7 linked regions of the Oryctolagus cuniculus genome follow. The protein of the gene in region 1 purifies or fractionates together with the protein of each later gene. This does not show direct contact. Links are inferred from orthologs where the notes say so. Each region holds a gene or a part of one and is shown in the gene's direction. Other genes may lie near its edges. The genes, in order: HSP90AB1, CDK9, PRKCE, HSF1, CDC37, EGLN1 and CTNNB1.

Region 1 (4,344 bases):
CCCTGAGGCCTTCTGGGCAGGACCCGACGCCTCCCCCACCCCATTCACTTCCCCCAGCCACAGGCTTCTCACAGACCGCGGTGAAAGGGACAAGGACATGGAGAGAGACCCTTGGCCCAGTGACGGCCGGGACGACCACGTGGACAGCGCAAAGAAAAGAAGGGTCCTCCTTTGTTCTCTGGAAGCCAGCATGCGGCCAAAGCTGGTTAAGGAGGGGGAACCGGGTGCCGGGGCTGGCCGGCTGGGGAGCACGGAGCAGGGCGTGGCCAGGGTCTCCTGGGAAGGACGCGGGTCCAGCAGACTTTCAGGGGACCCTTGGGAAAGGCAGGTCCGCCGGCAGCCGGAAGGCAGGCAAAGGGTCCAAATTGGGCCAGGCGGGCGCGACCCGCGGCTCCCTGGGCTGCCGCATGGCCGAGGGTCGCAAAGGAACTTGGTTCCCACGGGGCAGGCGACCACCGGCAGGGGTCCCTGGAGACCCTCCCCTCCCCCTGCCCCCGCAGCTAGAGACGCGAACGAGGGCGTAAAATCCGAAACCAGCTTGGGAAATAGCTTGAGGTGACCCTGTAAGCAGGGCGCCTCAACCAGTGTTTAGGGATTGGGGGGCTGCCGCGAAGGCTCGGGAAGGGATGGGCACCCCCAGTCTCGGCTTGGATGGAGGCGCCCGAAAAACATTTCCGCTGCCCGAGGTGTGCGGCCGGCGGGAGAGGCGGAGGGCCAGGTGCCCCTCAGCGGCGGGGCAGTGCCGCGCTCCGGGGGCGGACGAGGCGGGTAGCAGGGCCGAGCAGCGGCAGCCCACCCGCTCCGCCCAGGGGTCGGCCCGAGCTGCAGTACCTACACTGCCCGGGCCGCAGCGCGAGGGGAGGAGCCTCGAGGGGAGGCGGCGGCGGGGGCGGGGCCGCCGAGACTGGCCTGGAAACTGCTGGAAGTGGCCGCAGCACCGCTGCCGCCGCTCCTTCCGCCGCACGCCAGCAAAGAGTCCCCTCCCTCCCGGGCCGGCGCCCCTCCCCCGCCCCAGGGGGCTGCAGGCAGCTGGGCCGTTCGCCGGGAGGAGGGGGGATATATGTGGCAGATCCTAGTTAGACGACTGGGTGGGAGTGACTACCTCTGCTCGCTTCAAGTCCCCGTCGGCTCGGCCTCCTGGTTGTGGGAGGGCTTTTGGGGGAGCCGGTGGGGTCCTCGCTCGCAGATCCACTGTTGAGGCATATGAGCACTCTCAGTCCCTAATCGTGGCAGGGGTCACGCCCTGGCCGTGCAGAGAACAGGAGCTCACGAGCCCACACCGAGGCTGGCGGCTCTGGCTCTTCCCCGCCCGCCCCCTATTCCGGACCATGACGTCAAGGTGGGCGGGCGCCGGCAGGTGCGGGGCTCGCGGGCGTCCGCCTTTAAGGCGGAGGGATCCGGGGGAGGCGGCTGGGCTGTGCTTCGCCTTATATAGGCTGGCTGGGGGCTCCCAAGAGCTCTCTTGAGTCACCCCCGCGCTGCCTCGTGCCGTGTGCGGTTGGCAGTCCGGGCCCTCCGTGCTCTCTCGTGCTCGCAGCCCTTTCCCTTCAAGGTAAGGCAGCCGCGTCCCTGCAGGCCGTTCCCCCGCGGGTGCTGTCGCTGCGCAGCTCGGGAGCCAGACGCCGCGGTGCGGGGCGGCCCGTGGGTCCCCGCGCGCTCGGGCTGCGGGGGTGGTGCGTGGAGGCTTTCCAGCGTCCGGTCGGCCTGCACCGGCGCGCCGGGCCGGCGGCGCGGGGCCGCGGCGGGGGCCGGCTGCACGTGGTGGCCGCGCCGGCCCGGGGCGCTGCCATGTTTGCCCCTCCACTTCCGGACGCGGCTACGAGGGCCGCGAGGCGGCCGGGTCCGCGCGCGGGTGACTCAGCACTGCGCGCCTGGGTTGCCGCTGCTGCTCGGCCCTCGAGGTCCGTGCGGGACCCGCCGCGGGCAGAAACGCATTTGGCGTGTGGCAGGTCTTTTCCGCAGCCCTCGAGTGGGAGGGGACAGGCTCTGGAAGATTCATAGGCTCCCTCCCCCGCCCCTCCCCGAGCGCGGAGATTGTTCTCGAAGCTTCTGGAGCCCGATGCTCCGCCCCAGTGCCCGGATGCTGGGGCGATGGCGAGGCGCGCTGTGGCGCCCCCTTCTCGCGGGGCTGCGGCCGACGCATGTCCGGCAGTGACGAGGGTCGGTCCGCGGCCCCGGGCACCATTTTACTTGGGTGCGAGCAGGTGCTGGGGCGTCACGGGGCAGCCTTCGCCTGCTCTGTTCTTTGTCCCGCGTGGACTGCCCCGCGAGCCGGTTACCGCTGTTTCTCGGGTGTCAGTGTGCCCTGCCGCGTGGGGCTGCGATCGGGCCTTGGGCGCATCCACACTACAGGGGTAGAAGAGCTGCCTACGGGCGAGCAGTTTGAGAATAAAACCAGCGCCCACATCAAAGAGACGTGTGGTCAGTGATGCTGGCGTTTGAACGTGGGGCGGGAGTCCCTTGTCTGGGTTGGGACCAGCGTGGTGAGCGGCTGCTGGTCACCCCTGCTCCATGCTACCTGCTTGTCTGGTTGAGGAGGGCTTTGCTCTTGACCTGACTCGGTGGTTGTTAGTATTCACCCCACAGGTTTTAAGAAAGGGCGTGTCTTCAGTAACCCCGCCCAAAGCAGTTTAAACACCATCTGAATTTCAGAAGCGTCAGTTCTGGGGCCGCTACCTTCCTGATTCTTGACCCTCCTGTTCCAGATGCCCGAGGAAGTGCACCATGGAGAGGAGGAGGTGGAGACTTTCGCCTTCCAGGCGGAAATTGCCCAACTCATGTCTCTCATCATCAACACCTTCTACTCCAACAAGGAAATCTTCCTGCGGGAGCTGATCTCCAACGCGTCTGATGTGAGTTCCTTCGTGTTTCATGGCTGGCTGGGCTCCTCCCGAAGGGGGAAAACTGATTGCTATTGAAGGGGTTTGTCCGGGTGCTCCCTGGACGAGCGGGCCAGTGTGACCACGCGGCTCCTAGTCCAGTGAGGCCCAAGGTTCTCACTTCCAGGGGTATTTCAAGGACGCAATTTTCTGTTACCATTAAATGGCACGTTTATTACTCACTCTAAGAGTTCACAGTTCGTGTAGGATGATGGGGCAGTCAGAGTTACAGCGTGAGAGTAGCAATCCAAGAGGTTCCTAACGCTGAAGAGACGGCTAAGAAATCCGCTGTTGGTGCTGCCTTGCAGGCCCTGGACAAGATCCGCTATGAGAGCCTGACGGACCCCTCCAAGCTGGACAGCGGCAAAGAGCTGAAGATCGACATCATCCCGAGCCCCCAGGACCGCACGCTGACGCTGGTGGACACCGGCATTGGCATGACCAAGGCCGATCTCATCAACAACTTGGGGACCATCGCCAAGTCGGGGACTAAAGCCTTCATGGAGGCTCTGCAGGTAGGTGGCAGCCAGCCCTCGACGTGCGGCCGGGCCTCTGTTCTCTGCAGGACACGAGTCTGACCGTTCCCGCTTCTCTGCAGGCTGGTGCCGACATCTCCATGATCGGGCAGTTCGGCGTCGGTTTCTATTCTGCCTACCTGGTGGCCGAGAAGGTGGTCGTGATCACAAAGCACAACGATGACGAGCAGTATGCCTGGGAGTCTTCTGCTGGGGGCTCCTTCACCGTGCGCGCCGACCACGGTGAGTGGCCGGGAGGCGCTGCTTCACAGGGCGAGTGTGCAGCAGGCGGTCCTGGGGCAGCTCGCTCACCGCCTGCCCTCCTGGTCTGCAGGGGAGCCTATTGGCCGAGGCACCAAGGTGATCCTGCATCTCAAGGAGGACCAGACTGAGTACCTGGAGGAGAGGCGGGTCAAGGAGGTGGTGAAGAAGCACTCGCAGTTCATAGGCTACCCCATCACCCTCTACGTGAGTATGCTTCCCGCGGAGGCAGCCTGCCTGTGCTTCTGGTGGGCTGGGCCATTTGCTTGCCCTGAGGGTCGGTGCTCAAAACTGACGAGTGTTTCTGGGTGCTTTAGTTGGAGAAGGAAAGAGAAAAGGAAATCAGTGATGATGAAGCAGAGGAAGAAAAAGGGGAAGAGAAAAAGGAGGAGGAAGATAAGGAGGACGATGAGAAGCCCAAGATCGAAGATGTGGGCTCCGATGAGGAAGATGACAGCGGCAAGGACAAGAAAAAGAAAACCAAGAAGATCAAGGAGAAGTACATCGATCAGGAAGAACTGAACAAGACCAAGCCCATCTGGACCAGAAACCCTGATGACATCACCCAGGAGGAGTACGGCGAGTTCTACAAGAGCCTCACCAATGACTGGGAGGACCACTTGGCAGTCAAGGTGAGAGGCCTTGGGAGTGGGCCGGGGTGGAGAGGCAGGGGGTAGCCCAGCTGAGAA
Region 2 (4,288 bases), on another chromosome or scaffold:
CCCAGGCGGCAGCTTTACACGCTGGCCCCACACTCGGGATTTTAAACAGGAGATGGTAGATGGTGGAGTTGCAGCACGCATCCTGGCTGGGAGGGAGACAGCAGGCAGGCAGGCAGGCAGGCCAGCCTGGGGAGCTCAGGAGCCACGCAGAGGGCAGAGGGGGAGGGGAGGGGACAAGGGGAGCAGCTGAGGCACAAAAGCCAGTTCTGCTGGGGGCTGCTCGTTGGGCAGAGCTCCTGGGGCCTGAGGGGAGAGAGAGAGAGAAAGAGAGAGAAGGAGAGAGGGAGAAGGAGAGAGGGAAATAGGGAGAGGGAGAGAGGGAAAGAGAGAGAGAGGAGAGAGAAAGAAGGAGAGGGAAAGAGAGGGAGAGAGAAAGAAGGAGAGAGAGAGAGAGAAGAGAGGGAGGAGAGAGGGAAACAGGGAAGGAGAGAGGGAGAGGGAGAGAGGGAGGGAGGGAGAGAGAGAGAGGGAGGGAGGGAGAGAGAGGGAGAGAGGGAGAGGGAGAGAGGGAGAGAGGGAGGGAGAGGGAGAGAGGAAGAGAGGGAGGGAGAGGAAGAGAGGAAGAGAGGGAGGGAGGGAGAGAGAGGGAGAGAGGGAGAGAGAGAGGAGAGGGAGACAGAGGGAGAGAGAGTGGGTGGGATGCGGGCAGGGGCGGGGACAGGAGGGGCGCCAGGTGGATGGCGGGCTTGGTGCCTGTGCCGGGACAGCAGGCCTGCAGTGGCGTGGGTTAGAAGGCTTCAGGTTCAGGAGGATGGGTCCGGACCCCAGCTCTGTCACTTGGTGACAAGGGCTAACACCCCGGGCCTCAACGTCCTCCTCTGTAAAATGGGTCGCCGTGCACTCAGGATTCGGCAGGAATGGCCAGCACTCCCTGAGCAGACATACACGTTAGGTGCTTTTGCGAGTACCGACCCCAGGTCCCTCAGCTCCGGCGCAGCTCGTCGGGGTCTCGACCCTTCCTCCCGGAGAACGGGGGTGGGGTGGGGGGCGAGGCTCCAGAGGACCGGGCCTGGCTCGAAGCCGCCGCCAGTGTCGCCGCGCCCCCTGGCGGCTGTCGGTTGCCATGTCAACGGCGGGCGGCCGGGGCCGGGGGCGGCGGCGGCGGCGGCGGCGGGGGTGGTTCTCGCTCCCTGGGCGCCTCTTGCCTCCGCCTTTGGGGGAGCGCTCGGAGCCGAGGAGGCGGGGGCCCCGCGCGGCAGCCGGCAGTGGGGGTAAACTGAGGCACGCGGCAGGGCGCCCCGCAGCCAGGTGTGGAGCGCGGGGCCCCACCTCCGAAGACAGAGGAGGGGCCGCGGGCGGTGACGCGCCGAGGGCGGCCGGCCGACAGCGAGCGGGCGGGCGGGCAGGCGGCGGCGGCGGCGGCGGCGGCGGCAGGTGCGGCCGCGGAGGGTGGGCGGAGGGAGGGGGCGGGCAGAGGGGGAGGGGAGGGCGAGGCCGGGGCGCCTCCCCCTTCATAACGCGCCCCCTCCTGGGCTCTCCGGCCGCCTCCTTGTCGGCTCTCCGCGTCTCGCCCCCTCGCCCGGCAGCCCCGGGCCCGAGCCCCGGCCAGGGAGCCCCCAGGCCGCGGCTCGGGGGCGGCCCCCCCTCGCCCGCCGCCCAGCGCAGCCCGGCGGAGGCGGCGCCGTCGGAGGAGGAGGAGCAGGGCACTGCGGCTGGCCCCGGATCGGGCGCCCGAGCGGCTGCAGCAGCTTCGGCAGCAGCGGCGGCCTGGGCCGATGCAGCGGGACGCACCGCCCCGAGCCCCAGCCCCAGCGCCCCGGCTCCCGGCGCCCCCGATCGGGGCAGCCGCCAGCACGGGCGGCGGCGGCGGCGGGGGCAGCGGCGGCGGCGGCGGCGCCTCTGCAGCTCCGGCTCCCCCTGGCCTCCCGGGAACTACAAGTCCCAGGGGGCCTGGCGGCGGGCGGCGGGCGGAAGAGGCGGGGTCGGCGCCGCGAGGCCGGAAGTGGCCGTGGAAGCGGAAGTGGCGCGGCCGCGGAGGGGCCTGGAGCGCGGCTGCAGGGCCCGGGGCGGGAGCGGCGGCGGCTGCGGCGGGGGGCGGCGGCGGCGGCGGCGGCGGCGCGCTGGAAGCGGCCATGGCAAAGCAGTACGACTCGGTGGAGTGTCCGTTTTGCGATGAAGTGACCAAATACGAGAAGCTGGCTAAGATCGGCCAAGGCACCTTTGGGTAAGGCTAGGCCCCAAGGGGCCGGGAGCTCTGGGCCTGCACCCCTCGGGGCCGACGTCGGGACGTCCGGGGCCCGGCCAGAGGAGGTCGGGCGGCCGCCGACTCCTCGGCTTGTGCCCTGGTCTCGCTAGGCCGCGCGGCGCCGGCGGGCGGGGAGGAGCTTGAGGCCGGTGTTGGGGGGGCGCTAGGAGGGGCTGCAGAGCGGGGCCTGTGAGCGCAGCGATGTTCCGCGAGCCTCCGGGGAGAGAAGGGGCCGGGGGGTGCACGCCGGGGCCCGGAGGGAGCCTGCAGGTGCCGGGCGGCAGGGGCGCGGCTCGCGCGGCCCGGGCCCCGGCCCCACCCGGAGCCGCCCCTCCTGTCGCGGGGGAGGGGCGGGCGGGCGCTGCGGAACCCGGCGGGTGAGCTCTAGGGTCTCCCTGTCGGCCTGCAGGGAGGTGTTTAAGGCCAAGCACCGCCAGACTGGCCAGAAGGTGGCTCTGAAGAAAGTGCTGATGGAGAACGAGAAGGAGGGGGTGAGTACGGGCCTGGCGGCCGGGCTGCCCCGCGCTGGGCTCCGTGCGTCCCCGGGCGGCCGGGCTGCGCGCTGCCCCGCGCCGGGCTCCGTGCGTCCCCGGGCAGTCCCGGGCTGAGATCGAGTTTGTGGTGGCCTCGGAAATGCTGCGAGGCATCTGGCCCGGGCTCAGCCTGGTTCTCTCCTGGAACGGCGGCTGGGCCGGTGGGGAGCTCACGCCTGCCCTGGCGTCCGCGCAGAGCGTTCGGAAGCCTTTCAGCCTCTGAGTTTCCATCTTGTTTAATTGGAAGGGAAAACGCGCACGTGGTTCTTCAAAGGGATTTTGACGCGGGGCGGGCGGCTGACAGCGCTGCCCCCCCAGGCAGCCCCCACCCTGCTCGCCGCCGGGCCTCGCAGCTCGACACTGTGAGGTGTTTCCGCCGATGGCTGTCCCCGGTCCTGGGCTCAGACCGGCTCCTGAGATGGGCCCGCTGCTCTCACCCCTGTGCTCCAGCCATGGCGCCCACCCCCCACTCACGGTCCCCCTGCCCCCGTCCCCCCAGTTCCCCATCACGGCCCCCCTGCTCACCGCTCCTCCCCCCCCGTTCCCCATCACAGCCCTGCCATGGGCCCTCTGCTCACGGCTCCCCCCCCCCCGTTCCCCATCATGCCCCCCCTGCTCATGGTTCCCCTCCCCCCCAGTTCCCCATCACGGCCCCCCCTGCTCACGGCTCCCCTCCCCTCCCTCCCCTCCCCCAGTTCCCCATCACGGCCCCCCTGCTCACGGCTCCCCTCCCCTCCCCCAGTTCCCCATCACGGCCCCCCTGCTCACGGCCCCCCTCCCCTCCCCCAGTTCCCCATCACGGCCCCCCTGCTCACGGCTCCCCTCCCCCAGTTCCCCATCACGGCCCCCCTGCTCACGCCCCCCTCCCCTCCCCCAGTTCCCCATCACGGCCCCCCTGCTCACGGCCCCCCTCCCCTCCCCTCCCCCAGTTCCCCATCACGGCCCCCCTGCTCACGGCCCCCCTCCCCTCCCCTCCCCCAGTTCCCCATCACGGCCCTGCGGGAGATCAAGATCCTGCAGCTGCTGAAGCACGAGAACGTGGTGAACCTGATCGAGATCTGCCGGACCAAAGGTGCGGGCGGCCGGGGGCCAGGGCCCTGCCTGCTCGGCCGGCCGGCCTGAGCGGGCGCGGGGGGGCGGGGGTGTCCTGACCCCTCTCTCCCTCAGCCTCTCCCTATAACCGCTGCAAGGGCAGCATCTACCTGGTGTTCGACTTCTGCGAGCACGACCTCGCGGGGCTGCTCAGCAACGTCTTGGTCAAGTTCACGCTGTCTGAGATCAAGAGGGTGATGCAGATGCTGCTCAACGGGCTCTACTACATCCACAGGAACAAGGTGGGCGGGGCGGGGGAGGGGCGGGGCCGCGGGGGGGCCGGGGGCGGGGCCGGGGGGGCCGCTGAGCGCCCTCTACTACATCCACAGGAACAAGGTGGGCGGGGCGGGGGAGGGGCGGGGCCGCGGGGGGGCCGGGGGCGGGGCCGGGGGGGCCGCTGAGCGCCCTCTACTACATCCACAGGAACAAGGTGGGCGGGGCGGGGGCGGGAGGGGGCGGGGCGGGGCCGCTGAGCGCC
Region 3 (3,753 bases), on another chromosome or scaffold:
CCTGCAGGGCTGTTGGCTGGCTGAGCTTCCGGCCCACTCCACCCAGCCCCTCACCTACCCTTATCTCAGCCTGGGATCACCGGAGTTTCTGGAAGTGGCAAGAGCTGAAGCAACCACATTCTTTGGAGACTGGCTAAATAAGAAACAGAACCCCGTTCTCGGGCATGGCGTGACGTTGGGATGCGAGCAGAACTCGGTTTATTTTGAGCAAGATTCAAGGGAAACGAGCAGACTCAGAGTTTCCAGGTTTCCATGCCGTGTAGACAGGAGGGCAGCCGGGATGACTTCAGAGCACTTAGCAGTGTCTTAGGGAAGGTCACAGCCATCGGTCGAGCCAGTTTTCAAGTCTCTGTTAGGTGTGGGTGGTGAGACGTCTTCAGGCTGACATCAAAAATCCCCTTATTATGTTTTTGAGTTGCTCTTTTTTAGCTCTGACAACTTACCTTGGGATGCTGTACTTAGGAGTTAGTTATTTAAAAAGAGAAAAAAGGCTCCTGCATTTGTAGGTTATTCCATAGGAAAGTATCAATGGCTAGGAAAGCTTTAAGAAAATGGAAATGTTAATTGGCTCACTGGAGAAAGAGTCCCATTGTAGCTGTGAAGCTATGGAAGCAATGACAAATGTCCCTGCATCAGAACCAGTGATTCTGCTCTGTGGAAAGCAAAAGCGGAAAATTGTAAAACAGACTTAGAAAAACCTTTGCAGAAAGTGGAGGGTTAATATGTTTGTACAGTACATTTGGACAGCCTTGTAAGAATGTTATAACACTGCTGGTCTCTAGACAAAGGAGACAAATAATCCACCCAGGAAGAAATACAATTAGAAAGCAAACACTTTAAAAGTGTCACGGCAAGTTATAACCGCATCGAGATAGCACTGTATACCTTGTAAATGAGCAAAAGCATTTTTAAGTGAAGGCACCCAATGTTGATAGATCAGCACGAAACTAACATGCTGCCATGTTGCTGGTGGTACATTGTATTTCTCCTCCTTTTGGAAAATTGGTTAGGAAATGTGCAGAATATTTAACCCTTCAATTTACTTCTGGGAATTTCTATTTTAAGGATGTAACACAACAGAAGTTCAAAATTTTCTGTACAAAAATACCTAAGGCAATTTATTTATGAATATGTGGTAAGTGGGTAACACGAAGGAAATGACTAAATAAGTCGTGTGGTATTTACTTATTGAGTGTCAGCAGCCATGAAAGAGAAACGCTTATAAAATACTAGTTCTGTTAAATCCTATCCTGTAAAAGTATATGAGCATGTGGGTAATCATTTAACAAATGTGCAAAGCTGTACCAGACAGTGGAAGGAAATATGTTAGAGTGGACAGTTTTCCTAAACAGTTTTTAATCAGTTATAATATTTAAAATGAAAGGGATTCATTTTTTAGAAAGCATGTATGCGGTATCATTCGCGTTGCTTCTTTTGGTCCTTTCGTGCCGGATTGATGGGGCTGTTGTGGTTGGCCACAGGTCATGCTGGCCGAGCTCAAGGGCAAAGATGAAGTGTATGCCGTGAAGGTCTTAAAGAAGGACGTCATCCTCCAGGACGACGACGTGGACTGCACCATGACGGAGAAGAGGATCTTGGCTCTGGCGCGGAAGCACCCGTACCTAACCCAACTCTACTGCTGCTTTCAGACCAAGGTGCGTCTAGATAGAAGCTGGTGATCACCAGCCCGGAGCAGCTCCGTAGGAAGGGCAGTACGGCCTCCTGAGTGTCTTAAGTTTCGGTTTCAGAGCCTCTCCATTGCCTCTCCACACTCGGTGAAGTGGAATGGATTTTCTGCTTGAAAAGACCAGGGAGGATGTGAGGAGCATCCTCTATTTTTAAGGGCATGGGATTTTTCCACTGGAGGTTGTGCTTGTGAAGGGAGGAGAAGAGCCGTAGAACTGTGCAAATAGAGCTGGACAAAGCCAAGTAGCTCAACCCAGGGTGTGCCCTTTGGAAAAACCAAGAGATGTGGTTAATCCGTGTGCTTCTCCTAAGTTTCTGTCCCTTCTCAAATCACTTACCTGCTAAGTTGCTTTCAGGTCACATGAAAAAAGAGGAAAGGCCACCCTAATCGTTTCTAGCTTTGGTTAACGTCAGAGAAGGTACGGGATGTAAACAAATGCTTAAAATTCCACAGTGCAAGACAAACAGGAGCTTGGTGGGGTTTTGATTTTTTTTTTTTCCAATGTGCCATGTCACTGCCTGGGGACCAGAAGATGGCAGTAAAGAAGCGAAGATCATCTGGGGAAGCTGTGCCCCGACCTCTGAGTATCACAACTCATTTGTTGCTTATTCTTAGGACAGAAAGGAAATGCCACCCAGCATTCTTCATGAAGCTCTTGTTTTATTAGCCTTTTTGGGGGGAAGGAGAAAAGGTCTCTTAGGCTACATCTGGATTTGTAGCGTTGGCTTCTTGAGAAAGCAGAGATGACGTCACCTGTGCCTCCTGCCCACCCCCATCCGGAGCCCCGGGCAGAGCAGGGGCGTCCTGGAAGGCGAGTGCGTGCCCTCTGGCAAACTCCTGCCTCTGCCCGGCTGAATCCTGCTTAGATTCCCACGGTTACCCATTTGGTCGTTCAGCAAGTGTTCATGTTCCTGTCTGATACTGGCCTCTTTCTGTGTGCCTGGTGCTGTATCGGGTGCCGGCGCTGTGTGGTGAGCAAGCCCTCGGAGAGTTTGCGGCTCTTTGGTGCACCATTGCTCAGAGGGTATTTCTCAGAACCCTAATCCCTGGAGCAGCTGGGAGCACCGGGCATTCTGTGGCCCGTGGTTTGAGACACTGCAGTCTTGACCTCTGTCACAGAATTTCAACACACATCTGTTTACTGGCATCCCTGAAGAGAACTGCAGTGGAAAAAAAAAAAAAAGATAATCTTTGTTTAATCTACTATTTCCCAACACATTTTATCTCGAGACCCCACCACCACAAACACAACACCTACTCCACACGGAGAAACACGGAGAGATTTTTTTCCAGCCCTCTGCTCGCACAGGGGAATCAGCAGTATCTTCTGCAAACTCTTGAAATCTTTCTGCTTAACCTTCAAGGACACTTCGATTTTATTGTCTGTCAAACTTTCCTCTGAGACTCTTGTTTAATGAGACCTATCCGTTTTCTGAACAAGCACAGGGCTTATTAACCATCCTCATTTTGGATGCGTGTTGTGTAATACCTAGTATTTATGAGGAGCAGCCTGTGTGTATCTGTGTACATAGGCAGAGTCCAGCACACAGTCCAGGCTGGCGATGAGGTGAGCTTTCTTCTCCTCTCCATGACAGCACAACCCTAGATGAAGGAGAGAGATGTTGTGTCCGACTTTTCACTATATTCCTGGAATTATTCCAGGTGTCTTGGCCCAGGGCCTCCTACCTTGTGGGTCTCACTATCAGAATCAAAGGTCTTTTTAAGATTTATTTATTTATTTGAGAGGTAGAGTTACAGACAGGTCTTCCATGTGCTGGTTCATTCCCCAAATGGCTACCATGGCAAGAGCTGGGTCAATCCAAAGCCAAGAGCTTCTTCCAGGTCTCCCACATGGGTGCAGGGGCCCAAGCACTTGGGCCATCTTCCACCACTTCCCCAGGCCATAAGCAGAGAGCTGGAGGAGAAGAGGGGCGGCAGGGACACAAACTGGCACCCATATAGGATGCCGGCTCTGCAGTGGGAGGCACCACCTACTACACCACGTGCCGGCTCCTATAAGATTGTTTGTAACCACCCTGTGCTTTTCTTTTCTCACCAGTGGCAAA
Region 4 (3,753 bases), on another chromosome or scaffold:
AAACCAGCAGTCAGAAGATCCCTCCCTCCCTCTCAAATAAATACATATTTAAAAATAAAGAGGCCGGCACCGCGGCTCACTAGGCTAATCCTCCGCCTTGCAGCGCCGGCACACCAGGTTCTAGTCCCGGTCGGGGTTCCGGATTCTGTCCCGGTTGCCCCTCTTCCAGGCCAGCTCTCTGCTGTGGCCCGGGAGTGCAGTGGAGGATGGCCCAAGTGCTTGGGTCCTGCACCCCATGGGAGACCAGGATAAGTACCTGGCTCCTGCCTTCGGATCAGCACAGTGCGCCAGCTGCAGCGGCCATTGGGGGATGAACCAACAGCAAAGAAAGACCTTTCTCTCTGTCTCTTTCTCTCTCACTGTCCACTCTGCCTGTCAAAAAAATAAATAAATAAAAATAGATAAATAGAAACAACCATTCTTTTAAAAGAAGGAAGGAAGAAACAAGACTTGGGGAAGGATGAGTTCAAGGACCCATGCCATCTCCCCCGTTCCTGCTGGCTCAGAACTGCTGCGGCCCCTCTGCGTAGACTGCGATCCTGGCACCGCCTCGCCTCAGCCCTGCAGCCTCGTGCCCTCCCCACACCCGATGTCTGGGTTTTTTCCAGAATGCACTTTAAAAAAAAAAAAGTTTCCTTATTTTCATCTACTTGGAAGGTACAGCAGTAGAGAGAGAGAGCTTCTCTCCACCAGTTTACTGCCCAAATGCCCCCAACAGCCGGGGCTGAGCCAGACGAAGCCAGGAGCCCAGAGCTCCATCCGGGTCTCCCCCGTGAGTGGCAGCGCGCCCAGGTGCGTTAGGAAGCTGCGTGGAACTGGAGCTGGTGCCCGGAGGCGGGCTTCACCTCTCAGGTCCTGGGCCCAAGCCCACGTCAGCCTCCCGTCCCCGCCGTCTCCTGAGGCTCTGTCCAGCTCTGGGCCGGGTGGACAGCCCGGCTGGAGGAGGCAGCGGGCCCAGAGCCTCTCTCCTCGTGTCAGGCTCACGGCTGTGAGGGTTCTGTGAAGTAGTGCGATGGGTCACCGGATTCCAGGCATCGCTCTGAGTTAGAGCACAGAGCCCCAGGGACAGAGGGAAGGGGTGCAGTCACCCGCCGAGCAGAGGAGGGAGCTTCAGGCTGCCGCTGCTCCGTGACGTCCTCGGGCCCGAGTCTTGGGCAGGAGCCCTTCATCTGCAGGTCTGCAGGATGCCGTGGGGGGCCCCAGTGCACCCCCGCTGTGGCCGGAGACTGCGTCTGCACGCATGTGGATTCGCACCCTAGGTGAAGTGGGCCAGGTCCTCGCAAGCCAGCTGCCCAGCGCCCACGACGCTTAAACGGGTTAGGTCCCTGGTATGAGCCTCACGTCAAGGAAATCCTCAGCCCCAGCAGGCTCTGCTGGCAGATCCGCTCCCCAGGTGGCCCGGGCCAGAGCCAGGAGCCTGTCCCCCACTCTGCCAGGCAAGTCAGCAGGGCGCTGGGCCCTGCATGGAGCGGCCGGGACTTGGCCCCGCGCTTCTGTGGGTGCAGTGTCCCAGGTGGCAGCTTAGCCCGCTGCACCAAGCGCCAGCTCCTGCGTGGGGGACTTTCTGTTCTGCTTTTCTTTTTTTTAAGATTTATTTTTTATTTACTTGAGAGCCACAGAGAGAGAGAGAGAGGTCTTCCATCTGCTGGTTCACTCCTCAGATGGCCGCCACAGCCAGAGCTGCAAGCCAAGAGCTTCTTCCAGGTCTCCCGCATGGGTGCCGGGGCTCAAGGACTTGGGCCATCCTCTACTGCTTTCCCAGCTGGACCGGAGGTGGAGCAGCTGGGACCTGAGCCGACGCCCATACGGGATGCCGGCACTGCAGGCGGCGGCTCTACCCACCCCTTCTCGCTTGCTTGCTTGCTGGAAACTGGCTGTTGCTGGGCCTGATGGGGCGGCTCTGGAGATGAGACAGTGAGACATCCTCCCTGGAGTTGTGGTCGCTGATTCTGTGCAGCCCCGCGCTGCGTCCTGTGGCCCAGGCAGGGTCTGAGGAAGGGGCTTCGCCTCTCACAGCTCTGATCATCTGACCTCCTCGGCTCCCTTGTAGGAGAGGGCGTGGTCTCGGTGCTGGGGCCCGCCAGCCTCGGGCTTTCCTGGGAGCCTCTCCACACCTCCTTCCCTGCCTGCCTCCTCGGAGCCCGCAAGGTTTCCAGTGCACGCCCTGGGTACCTGCCCTGGCGTCCAGGCCCCCGTAGGTGTCTGGAGCCTCTCCTTGTCTCCTGCCTGCCTCCTCTGCTTGGTGCTCTGTCTCCCCCAGCAAGCTTTGTTGACAGCTGCCTCTGGGGGCAGGCGTGCGGCCTAGAGGCTCAGACACCTCCATCCCATGGCAGAGGCTCTGGCGCCTGACCCCAGCTTCCTGCTAGCGTGAACGGTGGGAGGCCACTGCCCACCTGGGAGACCTGGCTTGAGCTCCTGTCACCTGGTCTCCGCCAGCTCGCGGCAAGCATTTGGGGGTGAATCAGCAGATGGGACAGCTGTCTCTGCCTCTGTCGTCTGGATGCTGCCGTAGACCTGCCCTGGGGGAGCCCCTGTGCAATGGGACAGGCAGCAGAGACGCGCCCCAGCCCCACCTGCCATGCCCAGCTGCAGGGGTGGAGGGAGGCTCGCTGCTGTCGCTGGGGAAGAAGTGTCCCCTCCGCAAGTTGGATTCTGGGGGCGTCGGCCGCGGGGCTCTCCCTGCTGCTTCGGGTCCCTTCCTCCGTCTCTTGCACGCCCCTTGCCGTGTCGTTTTCCTTCTCTCTGGAGTTCAAAAGCAGCTCCAGTTCCTGTCCAGAACCACAGGCCCTTGGTTCTTCCCGGTCCCTGCCTGCTCCTGCTCCCCACTGTGTGGACTCTGCCCCGTCGGAGCCCCCACAGCTGCTCCCAGCACAGACGCTGTGCCAGACCTTCCTCCTGGTGCCTGGGCTGCGCTCAGGAGGACAGAGGGGCAGCGCACCCCGCCACCGTCTGTGCCAGGGGCTGGGGCTGCGTTCCCTCCCCTCCGACGGGAATCGGGCTTGCTCAGTGCCGGCCCCCAGCACGTGGGCCTGAAGGTGTGGCTCTTCTCATCCCAGGTGGGGCCTGGGTGAGGGCCCCGTTTCTGGCCACACGGCCCGGTGCCTCACATCATGGGGCATGTACAGTGCATATGTGTCTGCCGGTCCCCGGGAGACGGTTCCTCCTCCTGCCGTACCCCTCCCCCCGAGCCCCTCCATAGCCCCACCCCATGGGGTGGGAGGGCGCATCACAGAGCTGGCGGGGAAGGGCTGCAGCCATGCTGCCTGGCCCATGCTGCCACGTGTGACCACCCCGTGTCTCCTGCCAGAGCGGCAACAGCTTCCACGTGTTCGACCAGGGCCAGTTTGCCAAGGAGGTGCTGCCCAAGTACTTCAAGCACAGCAACATGGCCAGCTTCGTGCGGCAGCTCAACATGTGTGAGTGCCTGCCGGGCCCCGGCCAAAGGACGGACTCTGGGTTGACCAGTGCAGGATGTGAAGGCCAGCAGCCCGGGCTGGGGGGGAGGTCCCTTCCTGGGGGAAGGGTCCTTGTGGGAGGGGCCGGAGCCAGGAGCTGGGAGACCACAGGGTGCCCCCTAGCCAAGACCGCCAGGCTGCGCCCCAGTCTGGCCTATGGCCTCAGGCAGACCTGCTGCCGCCTCCTGTGCAGACGGCTTCCGGAAGGTGGTGCGCATCGAGCAGGGCGGCCTGGTCAAGCCCGAGAGGGACGACACCGAGTTCCAGCACCCGTGCTTCCTGCGTGGCCAGGAGCAGC
Region 5 (4,439 bases), on another chromosome or scaffold:
GGAAGGGACTGGGGTGCCCAGACCCTTTGTTTGCTGGTGTGTGAGTGTGAGTGTGAGTGTGTGCGCGCGGCGGTGAGACCCGCCGGGGTGTGAGTCCGTGCGCGCGCGTGCTCGGGCCGTGACGGCCACGGAGGAGCTGGACTGGCGGCTGGAGGGGGGGAGGGGGAAGCGACGGGGACTCCCCCGCCCCCGCCCGCCCACTCGCGGGTTTGAATGAAAAGCGAGGGGGAGGGGCGGCGGAGGGAGGGCGCTTTTGGTCCCGATGGCCACTCCCCCTCCCCAACGGGCCGGGGAATCCCTCCCCACCCCCACCCCCATGGAGCGATTTTTATTCTCTCCAGGGACCCCCCACTATCTACAGAGGCTCTGCGAGGAACTGGGGAGAGGCGTCCCAGACACAGGTGGCCGGAGCTCCTCCAACTCCACTTGACCCTCGCGGAGCACCCCTTAATCTGAGATAATCCTGGCCCGAGGCTGCAACACGGCCTTTTATCCCTGCATCCGAGAGTGGGTGGAGCCGTGGAGCAGCGCGCGGCCCAGCTGCCCCGAGCTCGGGGCAGTGGCATCCTGAAGCCGTTCTGGCCGAGGGGAGGGGTCCCAGCCGAACGGGGAGGGGCGACGAGCAGCCCCAGACCCGGACGACGAGGAAAGCCCCCTACCGCCCCTCCCCAGTCCCCTACTGGGCCGGAGGCCAGCAGCACTGGCCACTAGCTGGACATTTGGCGACACCCAGCGGCCGTGCGTGGGGACGCCACGCAGGGCGCCCGAAAACCTTTTGGGTGATTCCAGAGGGGGGGTGTGCGCGCAAGTCGTCTCTCACGAGTGGCGGGCACCGGGGGCTGTGTGTGGTCCCAGCGCGGGAAACCCTGCCCTACCGTCGACCCCCTCCCCTCCCCGCCACGTAGGACAGGATCTTACCGCCGCTCGCTTAGACCCCTCCACCACGGCAGGGTCTCGACCCCCCCTACTCGAACTGGGGAGTCCCCTCGGGTCTCGTGCCCCTCCCTAGCCCGGAATCCAGTCCCCCACCTTCAGGGGAGCTGGGTGGGGGTGGGGGTGGGTCTTCGAGTCGAGGCCCCGCCCCTGCGGTGGCCTCGGGCTGATGTCACTGCGGCTTGGCCAACGGGACAATCCAGCCCCTCAGTCTCGTCAACTGCCCCAGCGCAAACGCCCCCCGGGGAGGGGGCGGCAGGAGATGAGAGGCGCTCCTGGCTGCCGCGCTGCCCTGTAGGCCCCCCAGGAGGTGCCGGGCAGAGTCTCCCTGCCCAACGAGGCGGGGTCTCGGCGGGAACTCCCTGGCCCCTAACACGTGCGCAGGTCCCTTTAAGGCGGGCTTGGTCGCCAGGGCCGCCGCCGCCGTTACCAGGGATGTGACGTCACGCGCGGGCGGGGGCTGCGCGCGCGGGCGGAAGCGGAAGGGGCGGGGCTCCGCGGGCCGAGTGTCCAGCGCTGCCGCCGCCGCCGCCGCCGCCGCCGCCGCCGCCGCTCGAGCGGGCGCGGGCTGGGCCGTGGAGGCAAGATGGTGGACTACAGCGTGTGGGACCACATCGAAGTGTCCGACGATGAGGACGAGACGCACCCCAACATCGACACGGCCAGCCTCTTCCGCTGGAGGCACCAGGTAGAGCGCGCGTGCCCGGCCCCTGCCCCCTTTCCCGGGACCGCTCCAGAGTTCTGACCGCGGGTACTGCCCAGGGGACCCCGCGGTTGTTGACGCCCGGGATTCCAACCTCACGGTTTGGAGTTTCCCGCCCCTCGATTCCACGCCGGGGCTCGGGGAGCGCTGGGACCCCCACCCCCACCCACCCCCAGTCCCTGCGCGCGACCCCTGGGGCCGCCTTCGGATTCTGCACGGGTCTCTATTAACCCTTGAGACGCCCTCGGTCTGTGTATTCCCAGGGCCACCGGGGGGGGGGGTCCCTCGCCTGTAGGAACCTCTGCCGGCATCTGAGGACACCCCACCCCGCCTCACCCCTGCCCCCAGCCTCATCAACCCTGGGACGGGCAGGTGGTCCCTGCTGGCAACTCAGGGACCCCATGGTCACCACCCCCTCTTTGACGTATTTGCCCACGACAGAGCCCCCAGAGCCAGACCCCAGAATCCTAGCCGTGAGCAGCCCGTGGCTTCCCACCCATCCTCCCGCCCGGAGGTGCTCACCCCGCAGCTCGCACGGAGCGCGCACCTCCCAGAAGCTTCCAGTAGGAATTCCCGTCCCGGGCCTCCCTTCTGGCAGACCTGTATCCAGAAAGCCCTAGAAGGGCCCTGCCCCATCCTTCCGGGATGTGGCCTGGGGCCTGCTTCTGCCTCCCGGGCCCACCCCCAAACCTTTCCTTAAAGCGGCCGTCTCCTGGGGCGTGCACCTGCTGTGCGGGAGTGTGGGAAGAAAGTTCCAGCCCTTCTAGTTCTATTTATTATGAAATATTTAAGACCTCCGCAAGGCTCCCCAGACTATTTCTGTCGCGTAAAGAGGTTAATCTTTACTCTGGCGTGGAGAGCGGGGTGGGGGCCGCCCCATTTCCTGGCCGGCTGCTGTGGAGGAGGGGCGGGGTGCCCGCCCAGCCCCCAGCCCCCTCTCCAGTTTGCGAGGTGGGGGGAGGTTTGTGATCTCTCTGAGCGCTGCAAAGCTGAGCTAACGCGGCGCCCGCTTCTGGAAAGATCCTGGTGCAGAGACTGGGATGGAAAAGTTAGAGGTGGCCTGGTGGCTGCCACTCTGGGTTCCCGGAGAGGTGGGCGTTTGCCCGCCGCCCTGGGCTCTGCACCCACTGCCGGCTCCGGTTCCCACTGCCCTTCCCACTGCCCCGGGAGGCAGCAGGGACGCCTCAGGGCCCTGGGCCCCCGCCACCCACGTGGCGGACTTGCTTTGAGTTCCTGGCTCCCGGCTTCAGCCTGGCCCAGCCCCAGCCCTTGTGGGCATTTGACGTGATGATGGACTAGCAGCTGGGAACTCTGTCTCTGCCTCTGAACTTTAAAAGATGGAGGCCGGCGCCGCGGCTCACTAGGCTAATCATCCGCTTGCTGCGCCGGTACCCCAGGTTCTAGTCCCGGTCGTGGCGCCGGATTTTGTCCCGGTTGCCCCTCTTCCAGGCCAGCTCTCTGCTGTGGCCCGGGAGTGCAGTGGAGGATGGCCCAAGTGCTTGGGCCCTGCACCCACATGGGAGACCAAGAGAAGCACCTGGCTCCTGGTTTCGGATCAGCGCGGTGCGCTGGCCGCAGTGGCCATTGGGGGATGAACCAACGGCAAAGGAAGACCTTTCTCTCTGTCTCTCTCTCACTGTCCACTCTGCCTGTCAAAAAAAAAAAAAAAAGAAAAAGAAAAGTGATATTGCTTATTTTGTTGCCAAAAATTTGTAACCAGGAATAGTCCTTTCGAGGCACTGGTTTTCTGTGAACTTTTTGAATCCAACTTATATGCCTGAATTTCAGACTTTTTGCACCCCGCTAAAGTTGCCTTTTGAAAGATTTATTTACTTTGCTGAGCCAATTTTTTGGTGAAGACTTATTTAATTTTAAAGATTATCCATTTCTTCTTTTAAGTTTTTTAATTTAAGATTTAGTTTATTTGAAAGGCAGAGTTACAGAAGGAAAAGGAGAGATGGAGCCGGTTTGCTCCACAAATGGCTGCAAGAGCCAGGGCTGGGCTGATCTGAAGCCAGGAGCCAGGAGCTTCCTCCAGGTCTCCCACGCGGGTGCAGGGGCCCAAGGGCTTGGGCCATCTTGCACTGCTCTCCCAGGCCACAGCAGAGAGCTGGATCAGAGTGGAGCAGCCGGGACTCGAACTGGTACCCATAAAGGTGCTGGCGCTTCAGGCCAGGGCTTTAACCACAGCACCAGCCCCAAAAGTTATCTTTTATAATGTCATTTCTCCATGAAATTTTTTTTAAAGATTTTATTTATTTATTTGACAGGTAGAGTTACAGACAGTAAGACAGAGAGAAAGGTCTTCCATCCGTTGGTTCAACCGCCAAACGGCCACAATGGCCGGAGCTGCACCGATCCGAAGCCAGGAGCCATGTGCCCCCTCCTGGTCTCCCGTGCGGGTGCAGGACCCAAGCACTTGGGCCATCCTCCATGAATTTTTGAAGCAGCATTCCAGGCGTGGCCAGTTGGGTTGGATTCAGCTCCTGGATTATTGGCACGCCAGCCAGCCGCTCGCTAGCTCTGGATCCAAGCGTATGCCCGGGACCCAACCCGTGGGGGTCGATGCCAGGGTTTCCTGATTTATGGATTTTTAAAGACGTGTTTATTGGAAAGGCAGAGTTGACAGAGGAGGAGAGAGTCCATGTGCTGGTTCCTTCCCTAAATGGCTGTGACAGCAGGGCTGCTCCAGCTCTGCCCTCTGGCTTTCCTGATGCGCGGCCAGAGCTCAGATCCTCGGGCTCTCGCCTGCTGCTTTCCCAGGTGAATTAGCAGGGAGACGGATCAGGAGCGGAACGACTGG
Region 6 (3,069 bases), on another chromosome or scaffold:
AGACACTGGGTTTAGTGCTGATGTTAGAGTCCAGTCAGCTTGCGTGAGCTTCTGAAGACTTGCGTGTCATCTCTCCCTTTTTTCTCCTTTCTGAGTCAAGCAGCCTTCCCGCTAATTCACACAGAGGAGCAGGCTGAACAGTTGGTAGCCAGAAATCATAAAAAGTCCTAAATGGAAACCAGAGAGAATCTTTTCTCTTGGATCCCATCCCTCGTCCTGAAGCTCAGTGCCTGCCTCTACCTCCCACTGCAGACTCTTTAAATGTTTTCTGACCCAGAAACTGCTTCATAGACCTTCTTTTCAATGAGATTTTGAGCTTGGTTTGATTGTATCCTTTTTAGATGAATAAATAACAGTTTGAAATAGTAAATCAGTGTCAACTCGTGTGGAACATAAGTACTCTGGGACCTGAGAGAAAGAGGAGGTGGTGTTAGACTGAGCAGTAAAGAGGCCAGAAGCCCAGCCGCGTTAGTGCAGCTCTGAGAAAGGGCAAGATCGTCCTAGTCGTGGTGAGGAAATTTGTGAGGAAAACGATAAGGCTGGCGAGTGAGAACGGCAGGTGGTGGGTTACAGTTGTTTCCTGGTAAGGACTTGGGGCTATGGTGGGAGGTGATCCAGAAATTAGAACTCTTGATTACTAAGTCACATGGACAGAAGACAGATATATCTGAGCCCTTTCCTATTACCAAGGCCACCAGAAAAAAATAGAAGAGGCCACCTGGCAAGAAAGGTGTTGAACTCTAGACAAAGCAGAGTGTGGCAGTCAGCAGACCCGTCTCTGATCGCAGCTCTGTCCTTCTCCAGTGAGAGATCCGCACCTCAGTCTCCTCGAGTTGTCCAGGTGCTCAGGTTCTGACTCAGCTCTGCATTTGGCTGTTTACTTCAATATGCTTCCTGGTTTAGTTTTGTCACATATACGGGGTCATCATTCGATCATGCTTGCCCCCCATGACCATTGACTAGAATTTGTAAGATATTTTAACTAATTGTTGCACTCTACTGAAGAATTAACGATTTGTGCCATGCCCTCAATTTTATAGTGTCTGTACATTTTCCCCCTTGCTCCTATCAGAAGATCTAACATGTACTATTTTATAAACTGGTGATGCCTCATTTATTTTTGGAATAAGATAGTCCAATTAAGTGTAATTTTCTGAAAAATGAAGTTAGCTACACTTTAAACCTCAGAACATAGTATAATTGTTTTGATAAAAATTCTAGAAAAGTCTTAGTATAATTTAACTCCTCTTGATGACTCAGGTTATAATTAAAAACATCCATCATTCCACTTTGCTATAATGTAATATGATATTCTCAGAAGCTTTTGAGACTTACTCTCCTTTCACTAAAGGCCCCAGGCTGCTGTGTATGGAATCCTTTTCTGTTTCTCACTTTTTCATTTAGTACTTCTGCTATGGATAATGTGCTGTTTCTGTAATAGCCATTCTTTTACCCTTTTGTTATCTGTTTCTGCTCTGTGGTGGGGTTGCAAAAAAGATAGTCAAGCAGTTTAAACAGATGTTTAAAAAGTCATAAATACTCAACTTTGTGACATCAATTTTAGCCTCTCCTGGTTCTCTGCTATACTCTTCAGTGTTGAGGCTACTGGAAAAGTGAGTTGTTGTACTCATTTGTCCTTTAGTATCATTCAAGTTTAGGCATAATTTTGGCATCACAAGTTTTAATATACCATCATAACAGCATACCACTACCCTACCCCCCAATGTGATCATTCTTACCCTATTCTAAATTTTCTTTTAGGTACGCAATAACTGTTTGGTATTTTGATGCAGATGAGAGAGCACGAGCTAAAGTAAAATATCTAACAGGTAAACATCATTTGGGGCCAGGGTATACTGGAACAAAAGTACCCTGCCATCAGGTGGTGCTTTCAGTAAATTCAAGTATAGTCTTTTTTAACACCATGAATAATTCTTGTTTTTGTCAGATTCATTAATTCCCTTTCTTAAAAAAGGACTTCCCTTAATGTCATCTTCATTATTATATTTAGCCTACAAAATTGCCAAAAGATTAGGAAAGTTTGAGGCAAAATCTGAGTAATTATTCAGTTATCGTCCAAGTTTTTCTGTGATTATCCTTTTCAGTCACAGGGGACTTGACTCTTGTTAATGGCCATCTGGCTACCTCTCGTTTGCCCCCAAGAAGGCAGTAAATATCCTTTCCTTTTTTAAGCATACATACTCTTAAAAAATATCCTCGATCTTCCATGTTCAATAGGGACATGAAGAAAGTTAATATAAAGGAGGTAAATTGAAATGCCAAAATGAGTGAATCAGCTTAGGCATGTGGACTGCATTATCTCCAGTGGTATACACAGACAGGTCAGCACACTTGTACCGAACCTGAAGATTCTTCGTTACACCAGTTCTCCTCTGCCCCCGCTCATGGACTCTCTCTTCTAGAGCAGTTGGTCTCAGTTTCCCATCTGATGGACCACTCGCTTTCTTTTCTTTAACCCTACCTGTATATCCAAAAGTCCATTAAGTGTTCACATTACTGATTAGCCATATTTTCATGAGCCATTGATAATCCCACTTCAGGCTTTTATAAACAACATACAAATTGAATGTTGATGGATTTTCTATGTATTTTTAAAGTAGTTATTTGTGGCAGAGCCCACAAATAATTGCTTTTTAAAATAAAAAGGAGACGAAATCATTCTCTATACAGAGGATGGTTTTACCCTTAAAGGTTTTACTAGTTGAAATGAATGCCTTCATCATAATAGAACACCACTGATAACATTTGGAAGTGCAAGTATAAAAGTTTTCAGATGATGTTGGTCCATACTGTTGGGAATTCAGTGGGAAGCAGTAGCAGAAGCTCTCTGGTGCCTAATGAATAAATGAATTTTATCTATTTTTTTACCTTGCAGGGGAAAAAGGAGTGAGGGTTGAACTCAATAAACCTTCTGATTCAATCAGTAAAGATGTCTTATAGAGCCTCTCATCCAGCAATACCCTCAGTTCACTACAATAATTGTTGACACTGTTTGTTAACTTGTGAATACAAATAAATGGGATAAAGAAAAACAGACAACCAGTCGGC
Region 7 (3,753 bases), on another chromosome or scaffold:
GAGGCAGAGAGAGAGAGTGTCTTCCATCTGCTGGTTCACTCCCCAGATGGCCACAATGGCCAGAGCTGCGCCGATCTGAAGCCAAGGACTTGGGCCATCTTGTATTGCTTTCCCAGGCCATAGCAGAGAGCTGGATCAAAAGTGGAGCAGCCAGGACTTGAACTGGCGCTCATGTGGGATGCGGGTATTGCAGACCAGGGCTTTAACAAATGCTACGATTTTTTTTTATGTGAAATTAAATTTTTATATTGATCAAAATAATATCTTCATTGGTAAGATGTGTGTTGATACTTGTAATCAAATTACTATAAATTTGAAATTAGAAAACCTTCACTAGCAAACATGCTTTTATGTTGCAGACTTTATTAGAAAAGTAGTTTTATTTGTAAAAACTCTAAAATTCACTGTTTTGATCTGTTCACCAAAATCTGCTTTATAAAGGTATATTCGGTTACCTGTGTTAAATTAGAAAACAGCTGACTTGTTTAATTGAAAATGTAGTGTTTTTAAAATCCCATTGGACCTCTACTGTCCAAAGGGGAATCTTTGACGTTTTCAGTGAGGTTAAAAAAGAAGAGACCCTCAGGAATTCTGAGACGTTGATTTTTGCATAGGCTTTTTTCTCCCTGCTTTCAGCATTAGAGTTTTCGTGCTTTCTCATCACCATCCTGACTAGCCGTCGTTTATACTTTACTGAGAAGAGGTGTGTGTCCAGGAGGAACTTGGACTTAGATACTCGGCAGTGAGGAGATCCTAGGTCTGTTGCACATGTATCATGTGGTGAAAGAGGTTTTGGTGTTTTTAGGGCATGGTCCATGATATCTAGCAGGCATCCCAGTGACTTATGTTAAAATCTGGTTAAGTTTAAATCCTAATAACTTTCGATTAACTCTTTTTTAGGGTAACTTGACGTTTGCTATACAACTGTTTTGAAAACCCTCCGTGGACAATGGCTACTCAAGGTTTGTGTCCTAAATCTTGGTTGCTGAATTGAGGCTCTGCTTCTTTGCCATGAACCCAGCCTGGCTCAGATCCCCCTGCTTTCCTCTCTCCCTGCTTACTTGTCAGGCTACCTTTTGCTCCATTTTCTGCTCACTCCTCCTAATGGCTTGGTGAAATAGTAAACAAGCCACCAGCAGGAATCTAGTCTGGATGACTGCGTCTGGAGCCTGGGTGCAGTACCATTCTTCACTGATTCAGTGAGTAACTGGTAGGTGCTCCCCCTGAGGGCATAGGTGTTTCGCCACTGAGCTGATCCTGGCTTATCATTCTGCTTTCTTTGCTGTCTTTCAGATTTGACTTTATTTCTAAAAATATTTCAATGGGTTATATCATGATTTTTTTTTAAATTAAGGTAACATTTTCAGCGTACTGATTGTTAATACTGTTTGGTTTTTACAGCTGATTTGATGGAGTTGGACATGGCCATGGAGCCAGACAGAAAAGCAGCTGTTAGTCACTGGCAGCAGCAGTCTTACCTGGACTCTGGAATCCATTCTGGTGCCACCACCACAGCCCCTTCTCTGAGTGGCAAAGGCAATCCCGAGGAAGAGGATGTGGATACCTCCCAAGTCCTGTATGAGTGGGAGCAGGGCTTTTCTCAGTCCTTCACTCAAGAACAAGTAGCTGGTAAGAATGTTACTGCCTTATTAAAAGTCAGAATGCAGGTTTGAGAATTTATTTTTGTTAAAAAAAGACTCAGCTTTAACCTGTTGTGGCTTTACCTGCTGTGCCACAATGCTGGCCCCGAGAATTTGCAATTCTTATCAAAGGTAGTGTGGGTGGGGAAGAGAAGGGAGTGTTGGAATTCCTTGCCTTCTCTGACTCCACTTACCCTTATATTAGACCAACTGATGCTGAGTGACAAGTCATGGATGTCACCTTTCCTTTCTGGATAGCACACTCTTCAGTGAATTCCGAACCGTGGATAGTAAATGTTGACTTTCTCTTTCCTAGATATTGATGGGCAGTATGCAATGACTCGAGCTCAGAGGGTACGAGCTGCCATGTTCCCTGAGACATTAGATGAGGGTATGCAGATCCCATCGACACAGTTTGATGCTGCCCATCCTACTAATGTTCAGCGTCTGGCCGAGCCTTCCCAAATGCTGAAACACGCAGTTGTCAACTTGATTAACTATCAAGATGATGCAGAACTTGCCACACGTGCAATCCCAGAACTGACAAAACTGCTCAATGACGAGGATCAGGTAAGCAGTGCCATGGCTAGCTTCTGAGTCACTTTGAAGGAACCTGTAGAGAGCTGTTTCAAAATGGCTCCCCAGTATCAGTATAGAAAACTAATGATGTCTCTTAATTATAGGTGGTGGTTAATAAGGCTGCAGTTATGGTCCATCAGCTTTCTAAAAAGGAAGCTTCCAGACACGCCATCATGCGTTCTCCTCAGATGGTGTCTGCTATTGTACGCACCATGCAGAATACAAATGATGTGGAAACGGCTCGCTGTACTGCTGGAACCTTGCACAACCTTTCCCATCATCGCGAAGGCTTGTTAGCCATCTTTAAGTCTGGAGGCATCCCTGCCTTGGTGAAAATGCTTGGGTAAGGAAAGAGGTCCAAGTGCCCGACGCTGAGAAGCAGCAGAATGCAGTCATAACATTTCTCATGAGGCTTTTTCCTTCTTTCCAGCTCACCTGTGGATTCTGTATTGTTTTATGCCATTACAACTCTCCACAACCTTTTATTGCATCAAGAAGGAGCTAAAATGGCAGTGCGTTTAGCTGGTGGGCTGCAGAAAATGGTTGCCTTGCTCAACAAAACAAATGTTAAATTTTTGGCTATTACAACAGACTGCCTTCAGATTTTAGCTTACGGCAATCAAGAAAGCAAGGTAAAGAATGGTTTTTATGTGGCTTTCATGGAGCGTTGGAGGCCGTGCAGTGTTATGTCAGTCCATGAACTGACAGTCATACCATGCGTCACTCATGTTTTGGGAAAATTGGGCATCTCCATTTCTTTAAGTATGTGAATGACTAAAGCACCATGCTAAGCACACTTTTAACAGGAGGCAGTGTTCTCTCTGAACTTTAGTTCTTCTGTGGGAGATAGACATTGTATTACAGGGCTGGGAGGGCACATGAGAGATGAAATAGAACCTGTTTTAAGGGTTCAAAGAGACCTAACAGAGGAAGTAATCATCGAGTTCACCTTTTCAGGATGAGAAGGGATTGATTAGACGACAAATGAGAAAATGGCATCTTTGAAGCTCCTAGAAAGGGAAGGGTGTGGCAAGTCTTGTGAATTTAAGAAATTCAAAAAAGAGATGAGGTAATTGAGGTGGGGGCCGACTCCAGGGCTCTGTAGAGCGTGTTATAAAGGGCAGTGGGAAGCTGCTTTCAGCAGAGGCAGAGAGTGGAGACTGGTTTCTGAAAATGGAGGCAGTATCTGGAGGTGGGTGTATAGAGGAAAGTAAAGGGCAAGAGTGAGTGATGATTTTGGTATCTCTTTAAAGGGATATGATCAGAAAAATCAAAGGGTCCAAATGAGTTGCATGTGTGTGTTCTGGGTCAAATTTTCAACTGATCCGTTTTGATATAACCTCTATATTTGAACATTAATATTGTATAGCAGCATGTTTTTATTTTTTCTCCCTCTTCCTTTGCTATGATCATTGTGGTAGAAGGAAGTTGGGCTGGTGATTCCTTAGGAGGACTGGGATGCCTGCTTTGGGGTGAATATACTGAAGGAAGGGAAGTTCGGTGGGGGCTTGAGTGAAGGGATCGGGAGTGCATT

What was found.
Region 2: the proteins of HSP90AB1 (region 1) and CDK9 purify together in Homo sapiens (affinity purification with mass spectrometry; 6 studies listed by BioGRID and IntAct, counting the BioPlex papers as one, with this or other methods). This does not show direct contact. The link is inferred for Oryctolagus cuniculus from reciprocal best matches to the Homo sapiens genes HSP90AB1 and CDK9.
Region 3: the proteins of HSP90AB1 (region 1) and PRKCE purify together in Homo sapiens (co-immunoprecipitation; 3 studies listed by BioGRID and IntAct, with this or other methods). This does not show direct contact. The link is inferred for Oryctolagus cuniculus from reciprocal best matches to the Homo sapiens genes HSP90AB1 and PRKCE.
Region 4: the proteins of HSP90AB1 (region 1) and HSF1 purify together in Homo sapiens (affinity purification with western blotting; 3 studies listed by BioGRID, with this or other methods). This does not show direct contact. The link is inferred for Oryctolagus cuniculus from reciprocal best matches to the Homo sapiens genes HSP90AB1 and HSF1.
Region 5: the proteins of HSP90AB1 (region 1) and CDC37 purify together in Homo sapiens (co-immunoprecipitation; 12 studies listed by BioGRID and IntAct, with this or other methods). This does not show direct contact. The link is inferred for Oryctolagus cuniculus from reciprocal best matches to the Homo sapiens genes HSP90AB1 and CDC37.
Region 6: the proteins of HSP90AB1 (region 1) and EGLN1 purify together in Homo sapiens (affinity purification with western blotting; 4 studies listed by BioGRID, with this or other methods). This does not show direct contact. The link is inferred for Oryctolagus cuniculus from reciprocal best matches to the Homo sapiens genes HSP90AB1 and EGLN1.
Region 7: the proteins of HSP90AB1 (region 1) and CTNNB1 purify together in Homo sapiens (affinity purification with mass spectrometry; 3 studies listed by BioGRID, with this or other methods). This does not show direct contact. The link is inferred for Oryctolagus cuniculus from reciprocal best matches to the Homo sapiens genes HSP90AB1 and CTNNB1.

Annotation. Positions count from the first base shown.
Region 1 is NC_091436.1:125,882,606-125,886,949, reverse strand, and holds the start of HSP90AB1 (heat shock protein HSP 90-beta), read left to right. Parts: upstream 1-1,345; 5' UTR 1,346-1,552; intron 1,553-2,705; coding exon 2,706-2,852; intron 2,853-3,187; coding exon 3,188-3,394; intron 3,395-3,477; coding exon 3,478-3,637; intron 3,638-3,728; coding exon 3,729-3,862; intron 3,863-3,972; coding exon 3,973-4,287; intron 4,288-4,344. UniProt on the Homo sapiens protein: Molecular chaperone that promotes the maturation, structural maintenance and proper regulation of specific target proteins involved for instance in cell cycle control and signal transduction. Undergoes a functional cycle linked to its ATPase activity.
Region 2 is NC_091432.1:231,217,664-231,221,951, forward strand, and holds the start of CDK9 (cyclin-dependent kinase 9), read left to right. Parts: upstream 1-1,431; 5' UTR 1,432-1,715; coding exon 1,716-2,164; intron 2,165-2,594; coding exon 2,595-2,676; intron 2,677-3,699; coding exon 3,700-3,790; intron 3,791-3,885; coding exon 3,886-4,052; intron 4,053-4,288. UniProt on the Homo sapiens protein: Protein kinase involved in the regulation of transcription.
Region 3 is NC_091433.1:156,694,844-156,698,596, reverse strand, and holds part of PRKCE (protein kinase C epsilon type), read left to right. Parts: intron 1-1,481; coding exon 1,482-1,655; intron 1,656-3,753.
Region 4 is NC_091437.1:168,064,867-168,068,619, forward strand, and holds part of HSF1 (heat shock factor protein 1), read left to right. Parts: intron 1-3,307; coding exon 3,308-3,416; intron 3,417-3,648; coding exon 3,649-3,753. UniProt on the Homo sapiens protein: Functions as a stress-inducible and DNA-binding transcription factor that plays a central role in the transcriptional activation of the heat shock response (HSR), leading to the expression of a large class of molecular chaperones, heat shock proteins (HSPs), that protect cells from cellular insult damage.
Region 5 is NC_091447.1:67,013,953-67,018,391, forward strand, and holds the start of CDC37 (hsp90 co-chaperone Cdc37), read left to right. Parts: upstream 1-1,420; 5' UTR 1,421-1,519; coding exon 1,520-1,621; intron 1,622-4,439. UniProt on the Homo sapiens protein: Co-chaperone that binds to numerous kinases and promotes their interaction with the Hsp90 complex, resulting in stabilization and promotion of their activity. Inhibits HSP90AA1 ATPase activity.
Region 6 is NC_091444.1:50,885,246-50,888,314, reverse strand, and holds part of EGLN1 (egl nine homolog 1), read left to right. Parts: intron 1-1,761; coding exon 1,762-1,829; intron 1,830-2,896; coding exon 2,897-2,961; 3' UTR 2,962-3,069. UniProt on the Homo sapiens protein: Cellular oxygen sensor that catalyzes, under normoxic conditions, the post-translational formation of 4-hydroxyproline in hypoxia-inducible factor (HIF) alpha proteins.
Region 7 is NC_091441.1:106,483,704-106,487,456, reverse strand, and holds part of CTNNB1 (catenin beta-1), read left to right. Parts: intron 1-900; 5' UTR 901-949; coding exon 950-962; intron 963-1,401; coding exon 1,402-1,629; intron 1,630-1,956; coding exon 1,957-2,210; intron 2,211-2,323; coding exon 2,324-2,562; intron 2,563-2,649; coding exon 2,650-2,851; intron 2,852-3,753. UniProt on the Homo sapiens protein: Key downstream component of the canonical Wnt signaling pathway.